Linked DNA regions of Drosophila melanogaster. Changing the gene in region 2 together with the main gene of any one other region gives a genetic interaction. Each region holds a gene or a part of one and is shown on either strand. Other genes may lie near its edges.

Region 1 (9,516 bases), on a different chromosome or scaffold from region 2:
TCTAAAGCCGGAGAACGTGGTGTTTTTCGAAAAGCTGGGCCTTGTCAAGCTCACCGACTTCGGGTTTAGCAACAAGTTCTTGCCGGGCCAAAAGCTAGAAACCTTCTGCGGCAGCTTGGCCTACTCGGCCCCAGAGATCCTGCTGGGCGACTCCTATGATGCGCCTGCAGTTGGTATGTAGACAACTAATATGTCCCATAACCCTTTGTTAATCATTTTATCTGATTTGTTTAGACATTTGGTCCCTGGGAGTAATTCTGTATATGCTGGTCTGCGGTCAGGCGCCTTTCGAGAAGGCCAACGACTCGGAAACTCTGACCATGATCATGGATTGTAAGTACACGGTACCCTCGCACGTGTCCACTGATTGTCGGGACCTGATTGCCTCAATGCTGGTGCGGGATCCAAAGAAACGGGCCACTGTGGAAGAGATTGCTTCATCGGCTTGGCTAAAGCCCATCGATGAGCCCGATTCGACGACCTCCACCTCAGAGCACTTTCTGCCTTTGGTCAGTCGCGAACAGCTGGGCGAAGAGGATCACGCCTTTATCATACAAAAAATGATAAACGGAAACATTGCGTCCAAGGAAGAGATATTGCAGTGAGTACAATAGCACAAATAATAAATCAATTTTGTCTTGCTAACACCAAGTGACGTCATTACAGAGCTCTTGACAAAAATAAGTACAATCATATAACAGCCACATATTTTTTGTTGGCGGAATTACGTCTGCGACGGCGACGAGAAGAGCTGGCTCAAAAACAGAGGCTGCTCAACGATGCCAGCATGAAGTGAGTTTAAAATAACAACCACCTTGGATTCTTAATCTTTTATATGCATATTCAGAGTGGGAGATGCGAGTCGCAAGCTAGTGCCTGAGAAACCAAGTCCAACCGAAGCCCAAAAAGGAGGAGTACCCATCAGCATTAACGTGACTCCAGCAGCTCAGTTTGCCAATGACGGTGGCAAGCCGGTAAGTTAATTAGCAATTAGCAATCGATTTTAAGTGCAGTAAATCTAATAAATGCAAGTGCTTTTATCAGGACAAGCGCAGTCGCAAGTGCAGCATTGTGCGTGAGGAGGACGAAGAGGAGTCTGCCACAGAATGCACGGCGGTAGGCAATGAGTTGAAGGTAACGTCGTCGTCGCGGCGCGAGGCCTTCTCAGATTCCCCCTTTAGTAGGTCAATACATGAGCGTTCCAGCTCTGAGCCCGGAAATCAAACGAAAGGCGAACAGATAGCTAATAGCGGAGTGCCAAGCCATTCACGTACAAAGATTGTCGTCTCGGTGGATGCAACGCTGGCCCATAAGCTCAAGCAGATGGAGAAGAGTGCCAAGATCGATGAGGACACGCTGAGTGGTCTGAAGGAGCTGGAGATCGGCAAGCTCAAGCCGCTTCCTAGCAGCAGCAAGAATCCGGTGCTTACCCACCGTCGCACAAAGCTGAACAAGATTCGGACGCCTTCATGCAGCAGCTCGGAGGCCTCAGACGACGACACCAAGACACGCAACAAGAAAAAGATTAACAAATTTGTCGGTGACACGCCAGTGCGGTTTCGCATGCATCGTCGCGACTCGCATGACGACTCCAGCGACTCGCAAGATCAGCTATATCCGCCGCCCGGCTCGGCCAGCAATGCGGGTAATTTTATCTCCAAAAGCGGCTCAGTAAGCGGCAAAAAAGAGGGACAATCGCAGTATAAAGAGGTACGATTATTATTGTATAATTATCAGTGAGACAGCTACTAAACTTATATTCTTTGCTTACAGCCAAATAACAAATCCGATGAAAATCGCAAATCTCACAGCCAAAAAAATCGGAAACAGCACAACAAGGATCATGTTGATAAGCATTCCCACGCTGAGAGGCAGCTGGCGGATAGCAGCACAGCTACAACAGGAAATTCCACGAATAGAAGGCGGCGCATTCGCGAGAGCCAGTCGCTGGACCGCATCACAGAGGCTCAGGAATACGAGATGCGGCATCGATGCTACGCGGAGAGCGAGGCAGCATCCTCGTCGTCCTCGTCCACCCAACATATCGATCAGAGATATTCTTTACTCAGCCTAAACACTAGCACATTCTCCGTTGCCGAAACCAAGGAGGAGTACGACGAGGAGGCAGACGCCACAAATGCCACGGACCAAATCATGAATACTTTGAATGCAGCCAAAGCAACGCTTCAACAAGAGCAATATTTTAATAACAATACCAATCTTAGTAGGAACTTCAATCACAATCACAACCAGAGCATCATCCACATCAGTAGCCAGAAAGCCAACGGCAAGAAGTCCAACGAAACACCAAAAGATATTTATAATCTGAACTCAATCGAGCATATCGACTTGATTTTGGAGGATAAAAGCCTTACCAAAGCAATACACGTTACCGGCTCTAAATGCTTTGTCACCATGAAGAAAATCCGACGGCTGGGAAAATATTTTCCCGTGATGAACTTCTCTTAATAGACACAGTTACTTCTTTGCAAAGTGCATTCTAAATATTAAAAAGAAACTCGGTTAAGCGAACTACATAGAAAATATGCATGTATTAATTAAAACGTATAAACGTCAACGTTATCCCCCGTATATAGGAAAGAGCGCGAGAATATTTAAATTTAGTGGTAGCGTAATTGTTTTGTCTGTCGTCGTCATTACGCTTAAATTATTCTAAATATATTAATTTATGTTAATTATAAGTCTAATCACTCAATGCAATATTTAGTGAAAATACATTAATGCCCATATGACAATTGACTAAAAAGGTTATTTGTTTTCTTTTTAACAAATTGTGACGAATTAAAATGGAATGAAACTCGCAACTCGCACAATCTAAAATTGGCAATTCAAATGTTTGCGCCCAACTACAGTGTGTACACACCACAAATGTTGTAGAGTAGGTAAAGGAAATAAAGCAATAAACATTTAACTACTTAAAGCTCTTAAGATGTAGTTAAGCAATGATGGATGTCACCAAGCAATTTTTTTTTATTGTAAGAAAAATATACAATATACAAAAATATATTCTTTTATTTTACAAAATGATGCGTGTAAAATACATTGTACCTAATGCAGGTACCCCAAACGAGTACAAGCCACCCTTTTCAACTCTGGTCACACAGAGCACATCCCGTAAAGTTTTTCAGAGATGAGTTTGCGGCAGGAAAATTGAATTATTCACGGAAATAAACAAAGTAAACTAAGTGGAAACTGTAATCCTGACCAGCAATTATGTTGCGCATCTATCAAAATACTTACCGGTGAGAGACCACGCCCGAAACGCGAAAGCCTTACGTGCAGATTTTCTGCACGATTTCGTCATCGGCGAATCTCATCATTCAATGTGTTTTGCCCACAGGCGCACCGCGAGAAAAGCTGTTGTCTACTCCACCAAGGTCGCCTGCTGCAATCATTCCACGCTCTGTGGCATCACCAGCCATCCACGTCGGGCGCAGGATAGCGGGAGCTCCAGTTCGAATGGCAGGCACCGTGGCCACGAGGAGTTCCTACTTGCCGGCAATCCGGCGCGGGGCTGGCAAATGCCTCCGCCGTCGCGTGGTTACGGAATGCTGGTGGTGCGCATACTGCGGGGAGCCCTCAAGCTGCGATACATCGTCCTGGGCGGCGCCATCGGCGGGGGCGTGTCGCTGAGCAAAGTGAGTTTCGCAAGTTATATAACTTGTATAGAACTTAGGAGACATGATTTGTTTTCCGCAGAAATACGAGGAATGGAAGGATGGACTGCCGAATTTTAAGTGGCTGGAGGATGCCATGCCGCAGGGCGAACGGTGGAGCCAGTTCTCGCGGAATCTCATTGAGGTGGGCTCGCTGGTGAAGAACGCCATCGAAGTTGGTGAGTGTCCATGTAGACCTACCATCGCCCTTTCAATCTCTCACTTTAAATGGTCATATACCTTGGTCAGATTCGCATTGAACTCTTCGTTTTGATTGATTGATACTGATGTTATTGGGGCGTTTGCTTGTAGATCCAAAGCTCAAGCAGCTGGGCGAGGATAAGTTGTCGGAATGGCGCAACTGGTTTGACAGTCGTCTGGACGATGCCATCGAGGCGGCCGATTATCAAGGAGTTCAGATTGTCGAAAGTAGGTTACACAAATTACACAGACTCCCAACGTTGGGACCATTTAAAGTGAGAGATCCCTATCTACCGCATTCGAGACTTATTCCTAACATCTGTTGCAGCCAAAGATGACTTAAAGGCCAAAACAACGGTGGCCGCTTTAGGCATAACATCCGATGAGAGTCGTAAGAAGTATGGTAGGTTTTTTGCACACCTGCCGAAAGATATACTATATCTAATCCTTCTGTGATTCCGCAGAGAAACTCCAGAGCCAGGTGGAGACGCTGCAGACGGAGATCATGAACGTCCAGATTAAGTACCAAAAGGAGCTGGAGAAGATGGAGAAGGAGAACCGTGAACTACGCCAGCAATACCTCATCCTGAAAACAAACAAAAAGACCACGGCAAAAAAAATCAAAAAATCCCTGATCGACATGTACTCTGAGGTCCTTGATGAGCTATCCGGCTACGATACGGGCTACACCATGGCCGATCACCTACCCCGTGTTGTGGTAGTGGGAGATCAGAGCAGCGGCAAGACCTCTGTCCTGGAATCCATTGCTAAGGCTCGCATCTTTCCCCGTGGCAGTGGAGAGATGATGACGCGAGCCCCAGTCAAAGTTACTCTGGCTGAAGGACCATACCATGTGGCTCAGTTCCGTGACTCTGACCGGGAATACGATCTCACCAAGGAGTCTGATCTGCAGGACCTCCGTCGGGATGTGGAGTTCCGAATGAAGGCGTCGGTGAGAGGTGGTAAAACCGTCAGCAATGAAGTCATTGCCATGACGGTCAAGGGTCCCGGTCTGCAACGCATGGTTCTAGTCGATTTGCCAGGAATAATTTCGGTGAGCAAGTCAATACAAGTAAAACTGCGCACATCTAATGCTAATATCATTTTAGACCATGACTGTCGACATGGCCTCAGACACAAAAGATTCCATTCACCAGATGACCAAGCATTATATGAGCAATCCGAACGCCATCATTCTCTGCATTCAGGATGGATCTGTGGACGCTGAGCGCAGTAATGTGACAGACTTGGTCATGCAGTGCGATCCCTTGGGTCGACGCACTATTTTTGTGCTCACAAAGGTGGATCTGGCCGAGGAGCTCGCCGATCCTGATAGAATAAGGAAAATCCTTTCGGGCAAACTCTTCCCCATGAAGGCTTTGGGCTACTATGCCGTCGTTACCGGTCGTGGACGAAAGGATGACAGCATAGATGCTATTCGGCAGTATGAGGAAGACTTCTTTAAGAACTCCAAGCTTTTCCAGTAAGTATAGAGAGGATGTGATTGGTAAATTCCAAAGTTCACCTCTCTCCATACTTAGTCGTCGAGGGGTTATCATGCCCCATCAGGTGACCAGCCGCAATCTGAGCTTGGCGGTGTCAGATCGTTTCTGGAAGATGGTGAGGGAAACCATTGAGCAGCAGGCGGATGCATTTAAGGCGACTAGATTTAATCTGGAAACCGAATGGAAAAATAACTTCCCCAGGTTTGTAAAAATGTTTTAAAAAATATAAGAGATCTATAACATTTGAGGTATACTCTTTTAGATTGCGCGAGTCTGGTCGAGATGAGCTGTTCGACAAGGCAAAGGGCGAGATACTGGACGAGGTGGTAACGCTCTCGCAAATCTCCGCTAAAAAGTGGGACGACGCTCTGAGCACCAAGCTATGGGAAAAGCTCTCCAATTATGTGTTTGAAAGCATCTATCTGCCCGCTGCACAGTCAGGTTCTCAAAGTAATATTTTGTAGTACTAAGTGTAGGTTGTAAGCAGATTTCGCCGACGTCATCGATGGGGGCACGTCCATCCAATCGCCCGCCTTGTGTGCTCCGTCATTGTGTGTGTTTCTTGCAAGAAGATATGGCTTGGCCTCGAACCTCACGTGTCTCTGCAAAACGTTGTGTCGTTTAAATGTTTTGTTTAATTTTGTATTTATCATGGCCCGCATTCAGCGTCGAATTCCCGTGCAAGGGAATCACATGCGTTAAATAATTTCAAACCGGTTTGACTGATATTCCTGCAACATTTCTTGAATCACAAGTGTAAATTTAATGTGTACTCCCCGGCGGACGATTTCGAATCCCATTAACACCGTTTGCCTTTGCCCCAAAATAGTGACCCGGGATTGTCACAGGTTCTGCGTTGCGATCATGTGCCGGAAAGTCGCTTATAACGAAGATTTACGAGCACCTGTACCGAAACCAGATTTTGGTTTATGTTCACATTATAAAAACGTATGCGATATTAGCGATTTATGACCGAAAAACCCGTTTAAGCCATCGCTCAGCTTGTGTTTATTTAGCATTTTATGACAGACCTGTTAATTTGCTCAATGAATTCATCCAAATCAATGTCTAATTGAATTAAATTGCAGTTATCGAGTTAGGAATCTGAATGTTTCGTCGCTTTGTTTATCATTCCCCCCGTAGTTGTGTGTCTAGTTAATTTGGCTCAACTAATTTCATACGATTACTATGCTCTTTATAGATTCCTTCAACACGATGGTAGACATCAAGTTGCGCCAGTGGGCCGAGCAGGCACTGCCCGCTAAGTCGGTGGAAGCTGGCTGGGAAGCGTTGCAGCAGGAATTCATATCGCTGATGGAGCGTTCGAAGAAGGCGCAGGATCACGACGGCATCTTCGATCAGTTGAAGTCTGCGGTGGTGGATGAGGCTATACGTCGGCACAGCTGGGAGGACAAGGCCATCGACATGCTTCGCGTTATCCAGCTGAATACGCTGGAGGATCGGTTCGTGCACGACAAGCAGGAGTGGGATTCGGCGGTTAAGTTCCTGGAGAGTTCGGTGAATGCCAAGCTCGTGCAGACGGAGGAGACTTTAGCACAAATGTTTGGTCCCGGCCAAATGCGACGAATTACCCACTGGCAGTACCTGACGCAGGATCAGCAGAAGAGGCGAAGCGTTAAGAACGAACTCGACAAAATACTCAAAAACGATACGGTATGGGTAGTATACATTATATAGTTAGTTATTCCTCATTTACACGCATTACATTATGTTGGTAGAAACATTTGCCCACCCTGACCCATGATGAACTGACTACGGTTCGCAAGAACCTTCAGCGTGATAACGTGGATGTGGACACGGACTACATAAGGCAAACGTGGTTCCCGGTCTACAGAAAGTAAGTTGTAATGCTAAACCATTTAGACTGCTTATCAGTTAGCACATATGTCTCTTTTTTCAGACACTTTCTGCAGCAGGCGTTACAGAGGGCAAAGGATTGCCGCAAAGCATATTACCTCTACACGCAGCAGGGAGCCGAGTGTGAGGTAAGTGTTAAGGTTTTCCCTCTTATCTGAACCAATTTACTTAACTTATTGCTTTCTCAGATATCCTGCAGCGACGTCGTGCTCTTCTGGCGCATCCAGCAGGTGATCAAGATAACAGGCAACGCACTGAGACAGCAAGTAATCAATCGGGAGGCGCGGCGGCTGGACAAGGAGATCAAAGCGGTGCTGGACGAGTTCAGCGATGACGAGGAGAAGAAGGGTTACCTGCTCACCGGCAAGCGCGTGCTACTAGCCGAGGAGCTAAGTGAGTGCTTTGCTTAATTGAATTTGGCGCCAATTTAATTGCTTTCAATTCAACAGTCAAAGTGCGGCAGATCCAAGAGAAGCTGGAGGAGTTCATCAATTCACTTAATCAGGAAAAGTAGTGTGCCATGACCAAAGACACAACACCCGAGGCGTTACTTATTTAACTTGATAGTTTAAGACCACATTTGAAATGTTTGTTCATAGTCACGCTTGAGCCCCTTAGTTAAGCATACTTTGTGCTCCGAAAGTAATAAACAAATAGATCGTTAGTTCGTATTATTGAAATCGTCTTTATTGTTTATGAAGTGTAACCTTATGTCGCATGCAATGCAATGTAAACTCATTAATTTAAATGTAATATAAATCATTCATTCTGTTTTAATGTAATTGTAGTTGATAAACGTTAACGCGAAACGCACTCATCGTGCTGAGTATGTAGCGGTCCGTGTGTGTTTCTGAATCTGTATCGTGTAATATATATATATACATATATATTTAAATCGGTTTGCATAAGAGCACAGCACTTTTACCAGATGCCTCATCGTGCGGTTGATTGTTTGTTTCGTTTTGTCCACGATCGGCTAATCCCGCGATGCGCCGGCATCTGTATCGGTATCGAGATCGGTGGTGGGTGCATTAACCCCGACCGATCGTCTGGCCGCGTCTCTAATTGATTGATTGTTTGATTGATAAACGTATATCTAGCTAACTATGTATGTAGCTAGCTATGTAACATAACAAGTCCGTGATTGCGGTGCAGTACCATATCTCTTACAAGGTAAACAAATGCTCGTTCCCTATCATGTTAAATAACTCAACAAACGATTCTTAACTTGGCAGTCGACTTGTGGCCCAGCCATAGCCATGTGCTCAGCTGCTTAAGGCTATCGTAATAATATTAATAATGTGTTCGGTTCTCCTCCACTCCGATCCTCCGCTTAGTCTAGCTGCTAAATTCTAGTCCACATATGGGCTCCTCCACTAAAGCTTATAGAAACATAATTTACACTCGCGCTCCACTCTGCTCGTATGCGTGTGATTTGGGATAGGGTTGGTTGTGTGGTATTAGGGGTGTGTGTGGTAGGCACTCGATATCGCTGAAGGCACAACATTACGATTAGTCTTATCTTAATTGTATTAAGTACTCGGAACACGCTTTCGCACTCGCTTCCCTCCGAAATCGGGAGTTCCTTCGACAGGATGAGTGATTGTCAATTAATGTTGCCAATACCGAAAGGTGCTATCGAAGATAGTTGTGGCTGCGATGACTGCGAGGTGTTCAGGCTGTCTGGCATGTCTTCATTCGCTCCGATCCAAGCAGCTCCTTAGGCCGCCGGCAGGGGTGTTAGCTTCTCGTTGCGCCGCTCCTCCCATCGGCTGACCCAGGTGAGCGGGTAGCACAGGAAGGCCGAGAGGAGGATCAGGCCACCAGCGAAGTAGAAGGCGGCGTTGTAGCTGCCTGTCATCACATAGAGGCCACCTGTTGGATAAATGAATAAACAAATCTTTAGTTCAAGTTTCATCCGATCTCTAAGAACCTCTTTAATTGGCCAAAACTATTTAGTTTATACCATTGCCACTGCTGTCGGAAACTCACCTGCAATGGGACTGCCGAAAGTAGCTGCCAATCCCTGGAAGAGCATCAGGAATCCGTACGCGTTGGTCAGCTTCTCCAGTCCGATCAGCTCCACGGCGATCAGGGATCGCAGGGCGGAGAAGCAGGCAATGCAGATACCGAAGAACAGGGCGAATGTCCACTGGGTGGCCGTGTTGATGACAATGCCGCTGCAGATGGTAGCGATGCCGCCGGCGGTTAGGGCAAAGTTGTTCAGCCAGAGTGGCTTTACGGCAGGGAAGGAA
Region 2 (8,875 bases):
AGCGATTGCGGCCGTAGAAGTAGTACGGGTTCTCGAAGTACTTGTTGCCGTACTTGTCGATGCCCACCAGGGTTCCGATCTTCAGATCATCGTTCCTGGAAAATAGCGCATATGCGGTTTTCAGGATTGGAGCAATCTTATATAAGATCGAGACTCACCTATAGAGCTTCAGGTACGCTTGCTTCAGTCCTCCGGCTTCGCGGACCATCTGGAACAGCTTTGTCAGCCGGTTGATGCCCAAAAACTTTGCCATGCTGCCGGGAAAACCCAGAAATATATTAAACGTAAATAATTTCGATTTTCTTGGACTCACTTGAAACAAAAACAAAGTCAATCTGCAGTGTGGCCAGGAGAGGTCAAAAGCACCAGCTAGAAATACTGAATCATATCAATCATATTCTTTGAAGTAAAAATGGAACAAGATTGGTCGAAACCTACTCTCAAAATATTTTTAAAGCTCATTAGACTTTCATTTGCTGAGATAAGTGATTGTGAAACTCATGTTTTTTGTTGCTTGGATGTATCCTGTGCATTATTGGCGCTTTGGTAATAATACTGCAGCTAGTATTTTCTGAGGTTCGGCCACACTGCCACTCATCTGTTTTGCCTTGCCGGATTTTGTGATTCATATTTTTGTAGAGAAAAGTGGTGGGAATTTAGCGAAAACATGGCCAAAAACACGTCCAGCAACGCGTTCCGCAAGATCGATGTGGACCAGTACAATGAGGACAACTTCCGGGAGGATGATGGGGTGGAGAGCGCGGCAGCCGGTCCGGATGAGAGCGAGATTACGACGCTGCTGACGCAGGGAAAATCCGTGGAGGCGCTCCTGAGTGCGCTGCAGAATGCCCCGCTGCGCTGCAAGAACCAGAATGTGAAGGTGGGTAGCCACACCTATTCGTATCGAGAACCCTATAAAGCTAATCCTTCCTTGCATTGCAGGACCACGCCCTGAACATCACGCTGCGGGTGCTGCTGTCCATCAAGTCGACGCAAATGGACCAGGCCATCGACACCTTGGACCAGAACGACCTAATAGACGTGCTGATGAAGTACATATATCGGGGATTCGAGATCCCCTCGGAGGGCTCCAGTGGCCACCTGCTGCAGTGGCATGAGAAGGCCTTCGCCAAGGGAGGAGTGGGCTGCATTGTCCGCGTGCTGTCCGACACAAATCGCGCCTAGAGGAGATCAGCACAGCCAAAGGCGGTCATAGAGTCACTACCCCAACTGTTCCCTGCCCCATAAACCGATTCATACGCATCGCGGAGCATTTAATCAACACAGGATTGGAGCACTGGACACCACATCCTTATCTTCGGGATTTGCCACGCCCCAGCTGGAACCCACTTCTGTTTCTTCGCCGCAATACAAATGACGTTTTCCAAATTAGATTTTAACTGGTATCCAAGTATTAAAGTTTTTATTACGAAAGGTGAGTGGCAGTGATTTCAATCAGGGGAACGAACGTACTTCTAGTTCACTCAAGCCACACCTACATGTAACATAATTTGTAAGAAAAATTTTGTTTTTAGTAAGGCTAAGCAATTGCTACGCATCTCAAAACTCAGGAAGATTCAACTCCTATCAGATTTAAACACTTATTAATCTTCAGACTGAGCCTAGCAACTTTACGAACATAATGGCTTATCTAATCGAAATTCCAGGTGTATCATTCAACATGATGACGTTGCCTTCGTAAACTTTTAGCTGCCGTGACAGAAAACACATCTACTATGTTTGAATCAACCTTTTCTGCTTTATTTGACTATTCAATGTGTAATAAGTGCTTTGAGTAACCTAATCAAACCAATCACGGCGTCTACAACTTCTTATTAATTTAAAAAGCGGAGAGGCTCGATGATAGACAAATGCCAGGCGAATAGAAATGCGAGTTGGCTAAATGAAAGGCCCAGAATTTGGGGGTCGCATGCAATTTGATGATATTTCAGTGCTCGGTAGGGGGAACATTTAACAAAGGAGTTCGTTCTCTTTGAACGCGTCTTCAATAAATAGTTTTTATGTTGCTTATATGCGGGGATTATTAAGTCGAAACGGGTTGCTCCAATCGCTGACCAGCCTACCACATGTGGGTCTCGCGGATTTCGCTGATGATGTGATTCGCTCGCGTCAGTGCCTGAAATCAAAAGTAAGTTTAAAACGATGTCAAGCTAAGTATAAGCTAGCCAAGCGCACCTTCAGCATATCTGCCGCCTCTTTTCGGCGCACTGCAATGTGATCGGACTCGTTGAGCAGGGTTTCAGCCTTATCCGACTTATACAGATGTGTAACCAATTCGCTCTGCAAGTTGTCCTTAACGTAGTTAACCAAGAAATGCATGATGGCCTTTGGAACCGAGTCTTGTATGGATTTGCGCACAATGTAGAAATACGATTTGATCAGGTGTTCTAAAAACAAAAAGTAGTCAGATTGAGTTAGGTCTTTAAGTGGCCCGAGTTAAGTGCAACCCACCGATGACATCGCAATCCTTCTGCTCCTTGTCAGTGAGGCGACGTGGATTGTGGTTGGCCGGCACATCGGGCAGCAGATTGACCGGCTTCACTGGACTCACGATGTTATTGTGAACCGGAGTGTTGTTGGTCGAGTTCTCAATGCTGTCCGGACGCGTTGGTGCCGGCGGTAAAATGTTTGACAGCCATGTGCTGGCCATCGAAGGCGTCGAGTTCTCGGCGACGTGGTTCTAGAGAGCGAAACGAAAATGGGTTAAATAGGTTGCATACATAAATGAAGATTCCGCTGGCACCTGCTCATGCACTTGGCTATATTGCTGCTGTGAGGAATTCGGCTGCGGCGGCTGTTGCTGCTGCGGCTGCTGTGAACCAGCACTGTGCGACGAAATCTGAGGCGACATGTGGTTTCGCGGTGTATTGGCCCGCCGCTGCCCCAGATTTATCTGTGAGTAGGGATCGCTGTCCGTTTTCAGCAGACTGGGCACCAAAGCGGCATCCTTGTGGAAGTCGGGGTGCTTGGTGTTGATGTAGGCCAGCTCGATGGCCACAATGTTCTCCACCATCACGTTGGTGTGCGGCAGACGTCGACGCAGCAGCTGGGTGACCACGTCCACAATCTTCTCGTGCAGTTTGGGAAAGCTGTAGGGGAGATCGATGAAAACCTTTGGCGTTCAGCTATCATGAGTTCACATACCGCAGCATCTCCTGCTGCACTTCGTTGCCACAATGCTGAACAATGCGCTGCATCTCCTCGTGAATGAGTTCCACGCAGCGCAAGGAGGGTTCCTCCAGGCGGCGAATCTGGCGCTTCACTAGCAGTTCGAACGAGACCTCCGGAACGAACAAAGCCGGGCGTGGACCAGTGGCATTCCGGATGGCTGTCAGTATGTCCATCTTGCTCAGACCCGCCAGCGGGTGAATGGAGTCCAGGGTGCGGCCGAAGGTCTCGTGGAAAATGTAGCCCATCCGGGCACCGCCGCACAGTTCCGTGGTCTCGATATTCCTGGCCGTGCCCTCGATTGTGCAGCAGTAGGCGCTGGAGAACTTCGTGATGATCTGCAGCAGGGTCTGGCTCTTGTCGGAGACATCCTCGCCATAGGAGTTCAGCAGCGATTGGAATTGCGTGGCCATGATGTTGACGCGAGTCTGCAAGAATATGGGAAGTCATTCTCTTGAATTCAACATGCTATTCTAACCTTATCTGCCATTAATCTTCTCTTGCTTTACCATAGAAAAATATAAAGATCGATTATAATCGAGTGCCAAGTTTGTTTCATTTTTTTACATTTTCTTGAAGTTTTAGCCTGAGATTCTCGCATAGTTTGTGAAATCGATATGCAGTCTTTATAGACTAGACTCACCTTAAGATCTGGCAGGCAGTCCCGGATGTGGTGCATCAGGAGCCGGTTGAGGGTCTTGGCCAAGTAGGGCGTGCCGTTCCGGGTGGCCAGAGTGGGATACTTGCGCTGCAGGAAGGCGGCCTCGTCCTTCATCTGATCGTCGATGTGCTTTTGGTCCATGATGTCCTTCTGCGAGCGATTCATAACGCCGATGATGCCCAGCTTGACGGGAATGACCCGGCCGCACAGGATGTCGATGGCATCGGTGCCGGCATCCATGAGATCCAGTTTCGTGACCACGGCCAGAGTGCGCCGGCCATCGGGGTCCACGTCCTTGGCCAGCTTGAGTGCCTCACTGGTGGCCATGTCCGTGTTGGCGGCCGTCACAGCCAAAATGATGGAGTTCGGGTTCTCAATGTACTTGAGGACCAATTCTTTGATCTGCGCCTCGATATCCTCCGGCTGATCGCCCACCGGGACCTTGGTGATGCCGGGCAGATCCACCAGCGTTAGGTTGACCACGTGCGTTGAGAATATCTTCAGGTTGATGGGCTCCGGGCAGATGCCCTTGTTGCTGCCCGCCGCCCGCTCCGTTTCGTTTTCGATCTCCTTGCGGATCTCGTCAAAGTCCGTGAAGCACTTCTTGGTGTGCAGGAAGCGGCCCCACTCCTCGGCATTGGACGTACCTAAGTGTTATGTGGTTTAGCAATTGGGTTTTCCCGAACTTCTGACGTCTCAACTCACCATTTTCCGCCGAGCGATTCTCGCGATCATCGAGTGGGCTGTAGATCAGCTGGAGCACCAGTGGGCGACGGGTCACAATACCAGTTCCACGGGGCAGAAAGGATCGTCCCACAACGCTCTCGATCACCGAACTCTTGCCGGAGCTCTGGAAAAAAGGGGAAATGTATGTATTACTGGGAGTTAAAACGACGGCTGATAAAAGACGATGACCTGATAAGGTGGCTCCCAAGCGTTTGCAGCGAGGAAACACTTGGAAAACCGCAGATTAACTATTCTTATCTGGCAATGGGAGCCATTCTGTGATTGCAAATTTCTCAAACTTAAGCCTTTGCAACAGAAAACCAAATGAATGGTAAGAAATGGCACAGATTCAACATATTGGAGCTCCGCTGTACTCGGTATCAATGAGTTGCGCGAGCATTTAGTCATACTGACTTAATTCCAGAGCGTGAATCAAAGTGCAATTAAGCCAGCGATCGAAACATGCACACATATATGTACATACAGACACAACTATCGAAGTCACACATGTGTACGTTTGTTTTTTGCAGTGTGTTCGTGGGGGAATGTGTCACATCAGCCAGCAGCTGTTTTTTTTTTCGTTTTTGTATAATACTGTGGCATATTGATTTTCCATGGCGGCGGCGAGCAGTGCCAAAAATAATTATATAAACAATGGGGACGCCGCGAAGAGCGAAAGCTGGCTGAAATGTTGCTACAAACTGAAAACACAACTAAAATGCCGGCAAACGCACTCAGTTATATAATTTTGCGGTCACTGGAAAAGCGCAAGAGTTGGGGTTTCAGATAGCTGCGCCATATTCCGGTTCTCAGTTGCCACTCCTTTTACGGAGCTCGGGGATTTATGGTTTTCGGTGTGCGGATTTTTGGGCACCTCGCAGTTTGCATTTACCTGACTGCCTAGAACAACAATTTGGGGCAATTGGATGGAGTCGGAGCCCACGGTGTTGAAGACGTCCTGCAGCTTGTTTATGACCGGAATTAGGGCCTCCATTCTGAGTGTGTGTGTGTGCTGGGTTCCTTTGGTCGCGTTCCACTCGGCTGGCGATTAATTCGCGCACATAAAGGCCGTTCTTTTCGGCTTTTTCTGATTGACGCGAGCACCGAAATTATTTTTGCAAACCGCCAGTGTTGCACAGCAAATTTAGACTGTTTTTCTAGCGGTGTTGCCACACGGGCGGAACTTGCTGCTATCGGCAGTCCCTAGACGAGGTTGCCACCGTGCGCGAGAGTGCTGCCAATCTATTCCAAAAGGGCAGCTTTCTGTGCGCGCCAAAATTGAATTTTTGGGTGTTTCCAATTTTGCCCGTTAGTTGCGTGTATTGAATACTTTACACAAATAAAGAAAGGTATGATTTCATAACATTACTTAAAATCCCCCAATAGCTACAAAATATGAATGTCCTTTTCTTTTTGTTTTGTTTCATATTTTGCCTTTTTACTTATTTTATATGCACATGAGGAGTTTGTATTGATATGGACCAAACAAAAGGGGTCCTTACAAACCAATCTGAAAACTCACACACCACAATCTAAATCTGGCAGAATCTCAATATATTCATCGTATCTAACTAAATTGAAAAACTACACAGAGTAGGCGCATTTCTGAATACCCTTACAGACATAACAGTGAAAATGAATATATAGCATAAATATATTGTCTTTGATTTTGTCTAATTTCTGCAGAAATAAAGGACTATTTAAACGAAGAAATATTAAAGTTGGAGCAGCCGCCAAGTGGTCAGACCACGTGGCCCAAAATAGGGAAAAGGAATAATCTGGGGACCGGCCTCAAGTGCTCGAGATTTGCATGGGCGGTTGGGATGGGGACTTCCCCGGTTTTATATAAGAATTGCAGGGCAGTGAGCTGTGCCCCAAAACCAAAAAGGGGGCTACCCGACTATTTCTCGACCACACTCGATTGCCTGCCTGGCATGCATTGTGGGCGAAATGCCGGGCTCATCTGTCGTTTTTATCGGTTTATTTCAATGTTCGAGGATGCTTGTCGCCCGGTACACTAAGCATTCAAATTTCGATAGTGGCCTGGCCCAAATGGACCAGAATATTGGACGTACATATGTATGTACCACATCCATGTGCATAGAAGCCCCCACTCACGTATGCATCATGTGTCCTATTTGATAACAGTTCCCATTGTTGTTTGGCCAGCTCCTCCTGGCTGCTCCCAATTGAAAATGACAATGAAAATTGTTACAAGTTGGCTGATATCATTTTGCAATGCTCGCTTATCTCTTTAATGGCTTCCAAGCGATTTGAATATGCTTGGGATGATTTAAGATGACTTATTATTTACAATCCCATTGAAGTATCGAATTGTTTGAGTTTATTGTTCCGATCGCAGGATGGTAATATCGATTATAAGTAGTTTCAAAATTTAATCATTCCACTTCAAAATTAGTTACGCCATCCATGAAACTTTGATCATTCAAGTTTGGGATACTGACTAATCTCATTTCTTGCCCCATTATTATACATTCTGGCATTTTTCGAACTGCAAGTGGGCTTCTTTAGCATTTTCATAGATAAACTTTCGGCTTCCAATTAACAAATTTGGCTGGCAACTTTGCCAGCACACCTCTGCTGTATCTGTGTGTTTGAGTGTGTATAAATATTTCAAAATTTCCCCCATCAAATTGGCATTGTTGGACCGGGGAACTTTCGTATCTCTGGCTTGACAACTTGCCGAAATGTGCGGCGTGGAAAACTTCTTGAGTTTGAGTTGACAGTTATTGCGAAAGACGGGCGGGGGTGATGGTGATGGGGCACGCCCCCTTCTCGGGGCCGGAATATTAATTTGATAATTTCACGGCTGAATGCAAATTCGGTGTCAGGGTCCTTGGCTCTCTAATTGACTGACGAATACTTAAAATATGAATTTCAAATGAAGTTCAGCCATTGTCTGCTTTCTGGCTTTCTTTTGCCGCTTTTCGACTTGGCGCGATTAATTATGGAGTGATGATGATGATGATGGTGATGATGATGGTGTAGTTGAAGCTGGAGCAGCCTCTGCCCTCCGGTGGAGCATTAATCATGTGAAAGTAATTTTGCACATTTGCATGCGTTGCACAAAGCGATAATTTTCATCCATCATTTTCAAGTGTTTCCGCAGGATTATAGTGCTGCAAGGAGTCGCCAGCCTTTCGCTGTCATATCCTGCGTGTGTGCAGGATGGGTAGTCGCCTCATTATCCATCGCCATGTCGTCGTCAATTATTCTTGTTCTGCAGCCAGCCTGCAAGAACTTTGCATTTAGTTGATGAGCTTCTCTGCCCTGGTGGAAACCACGAAGTCCTCATGCTCCTCCTGCTCATCCTGCTCCTTTGGTGCTTTGCTCTTTTGTGCCTCGATGCCTTTGGTTTTCGGGACTCGGCTTTCATCTTTCGGCTGACTGCCAGTTGATCAATGGCTCTGCCCGTTTTCCATGGTGTTTCATGCAATTACGTATTTATATTGCGTATACGCCATGTGAATACGACGGATGGATGGAGAGCCCTTGAAGTAGGCGGCGTTACGGGGCGGAAACTTCTCCGTACGTTCTCGCCACAACTGCTGCAATAATGAACTTTGATTTTGCCCCTTTGCAATTCCCGGAATCATGAATGTTCCACAGCTTGTGGTCTGGCTGGAAAATGCGGAGCGCGAGCTGGGAAATATGCGATATAATTGCTGATTGATGCGGTTTGAAGGAGGTTGCTCTTTATGCTCTCGCACATTTTAATATAAAACTTGGTTGAAAGTATACAATACATTTTTATTCAATAACTGAATATATATGCATAATAATAAATTAGATATATCTCTTTTTTCATCATTACCATTACTAAACCCATTAAAGGACCATGAAGTGTGGCCATAACCGACTCTATCAAGTGGGTTGAATTATGAAGGCCATGTGTGCAGCCGCTTGGTTGGGTTTTTCGGTGCGCCCCGGATCTTGGCAGGATGTGGTTACCATTTAGCAGATGTCGCCGCTCTTGGCACCCAGCTCCTTGGCCATTAATCTGCCTGGGAACGCGGCTGCCAGATGCCTGCTGCCTTCTACTGCGGAAAGTGCGAAAGTATCGCACACATGTTTCCCTTATTTATATTTTGGCAATGCTCTGGCTGCATGTTTAATTGGATTTGCAGCTAAGCGGAATTAGAAGTGTGGGCGGAAAAGTGGGGAGCATTTGCATACTCCAGCTGTGGCGGAAAACCTCGACGGAAAGCCTCGAGACACTGGAAAAAAGGGGATGCAATTGAAGTAGATTGATATACCAAGGAACATAATATCATTCTT

Evidence for each region. A genetic interaction does not mean that the proteins touch.
Region 1: of Drp1 (region 2) and Opa1, changing one suppresses a phenotype caused by changing the other (phenotypic suppression), as found in Drosophila melanogaster (one study listed by BioGRID).

The regions. Positions count from the first base shown.
Region 1 is NT_033778.4:14,229,033-14,238,548, reverse strand, and holds Opa1 (optic atrophy 1), read left to right. Parts: upstream 1-3,099; 5' UTR 3,100-3,234; coding exon 3,235-3,263; intron 3,264-3,361; coding exon 3,362-3,659; intron 3,660-3,720; coding exon 3,721-3,856; intron 3,857-3,989; coding exon 3,990-4,106; intron 4,107-4,206; coding exon 4,207-4,281; intron 4,282-4,342; coding exon 4,343-4,932; intron 4,933-4,987; coding exon 4,988-5,361; exon of another isoform or gene 5,362-5,419; coding exon 5,420-5,584; intron 5,585-5,645; coding exon 5,646-5,833; coding exon of another isoform or gene 5,834-5,847; exon of another isoform or gene 5,848-6,584; coding exon 6,585-7,057; intron 7,058-7,122; coding exon 7,123-7,241; intron 7,242-7,304; coding exon 7,305-7,389; intron 7,390-7,449; coding exon 7,450-7,654; intron 7,655-7,710; coding exon 7,711-7,775; 3' UTR 7,776-7,938; downstream 7,939-9,516. Other genes in the region: Snrk (SNF related kinase), read left to right, coding at 1-173, 235-601, 667-792, 848-974, 1,045-1,710, 1,774-2,469; CG8468 (uncharacterized protein), read right to left, coding at 8,982-9,136, 9,254-9,516.
Region 2 is NT_033779.5:2,579,702-2,588,576, forward strand, and holds Drp1 (dynamin related protein 1), read right to left. Parts: upstream 5,730-8,875; 5' UTR 5,571-5,729; coding exon 5,469-5,570; intron 4,701-5,468; coding exon 4,556-4,700; intron 4,498-4,555; coding exon 3,833-4,497; intron 3,618-3,832; coding exon 3,166-3,617; intron 3,111-3,165; coding exon 2,765-3,110; intron 2,702-2,764; coding exon 2,473-2,701; intron 2,409-2,472; coding exon 2,197-2,408; intron 2,138-2,196; coding exon 2,081-2,137; 3' UTR 1,580-2,080; downstream 1-1,579. Other genes in the region: ND-B17.2 (NADH dehydrogenase (ubiquinone) B17.2 subunit), read right to left, coding at 1-95, 159-253; Arpc5 (Actin-related protein 2/3 complex, subunit 5), read left to right, coding at 668-880, 943-1,185.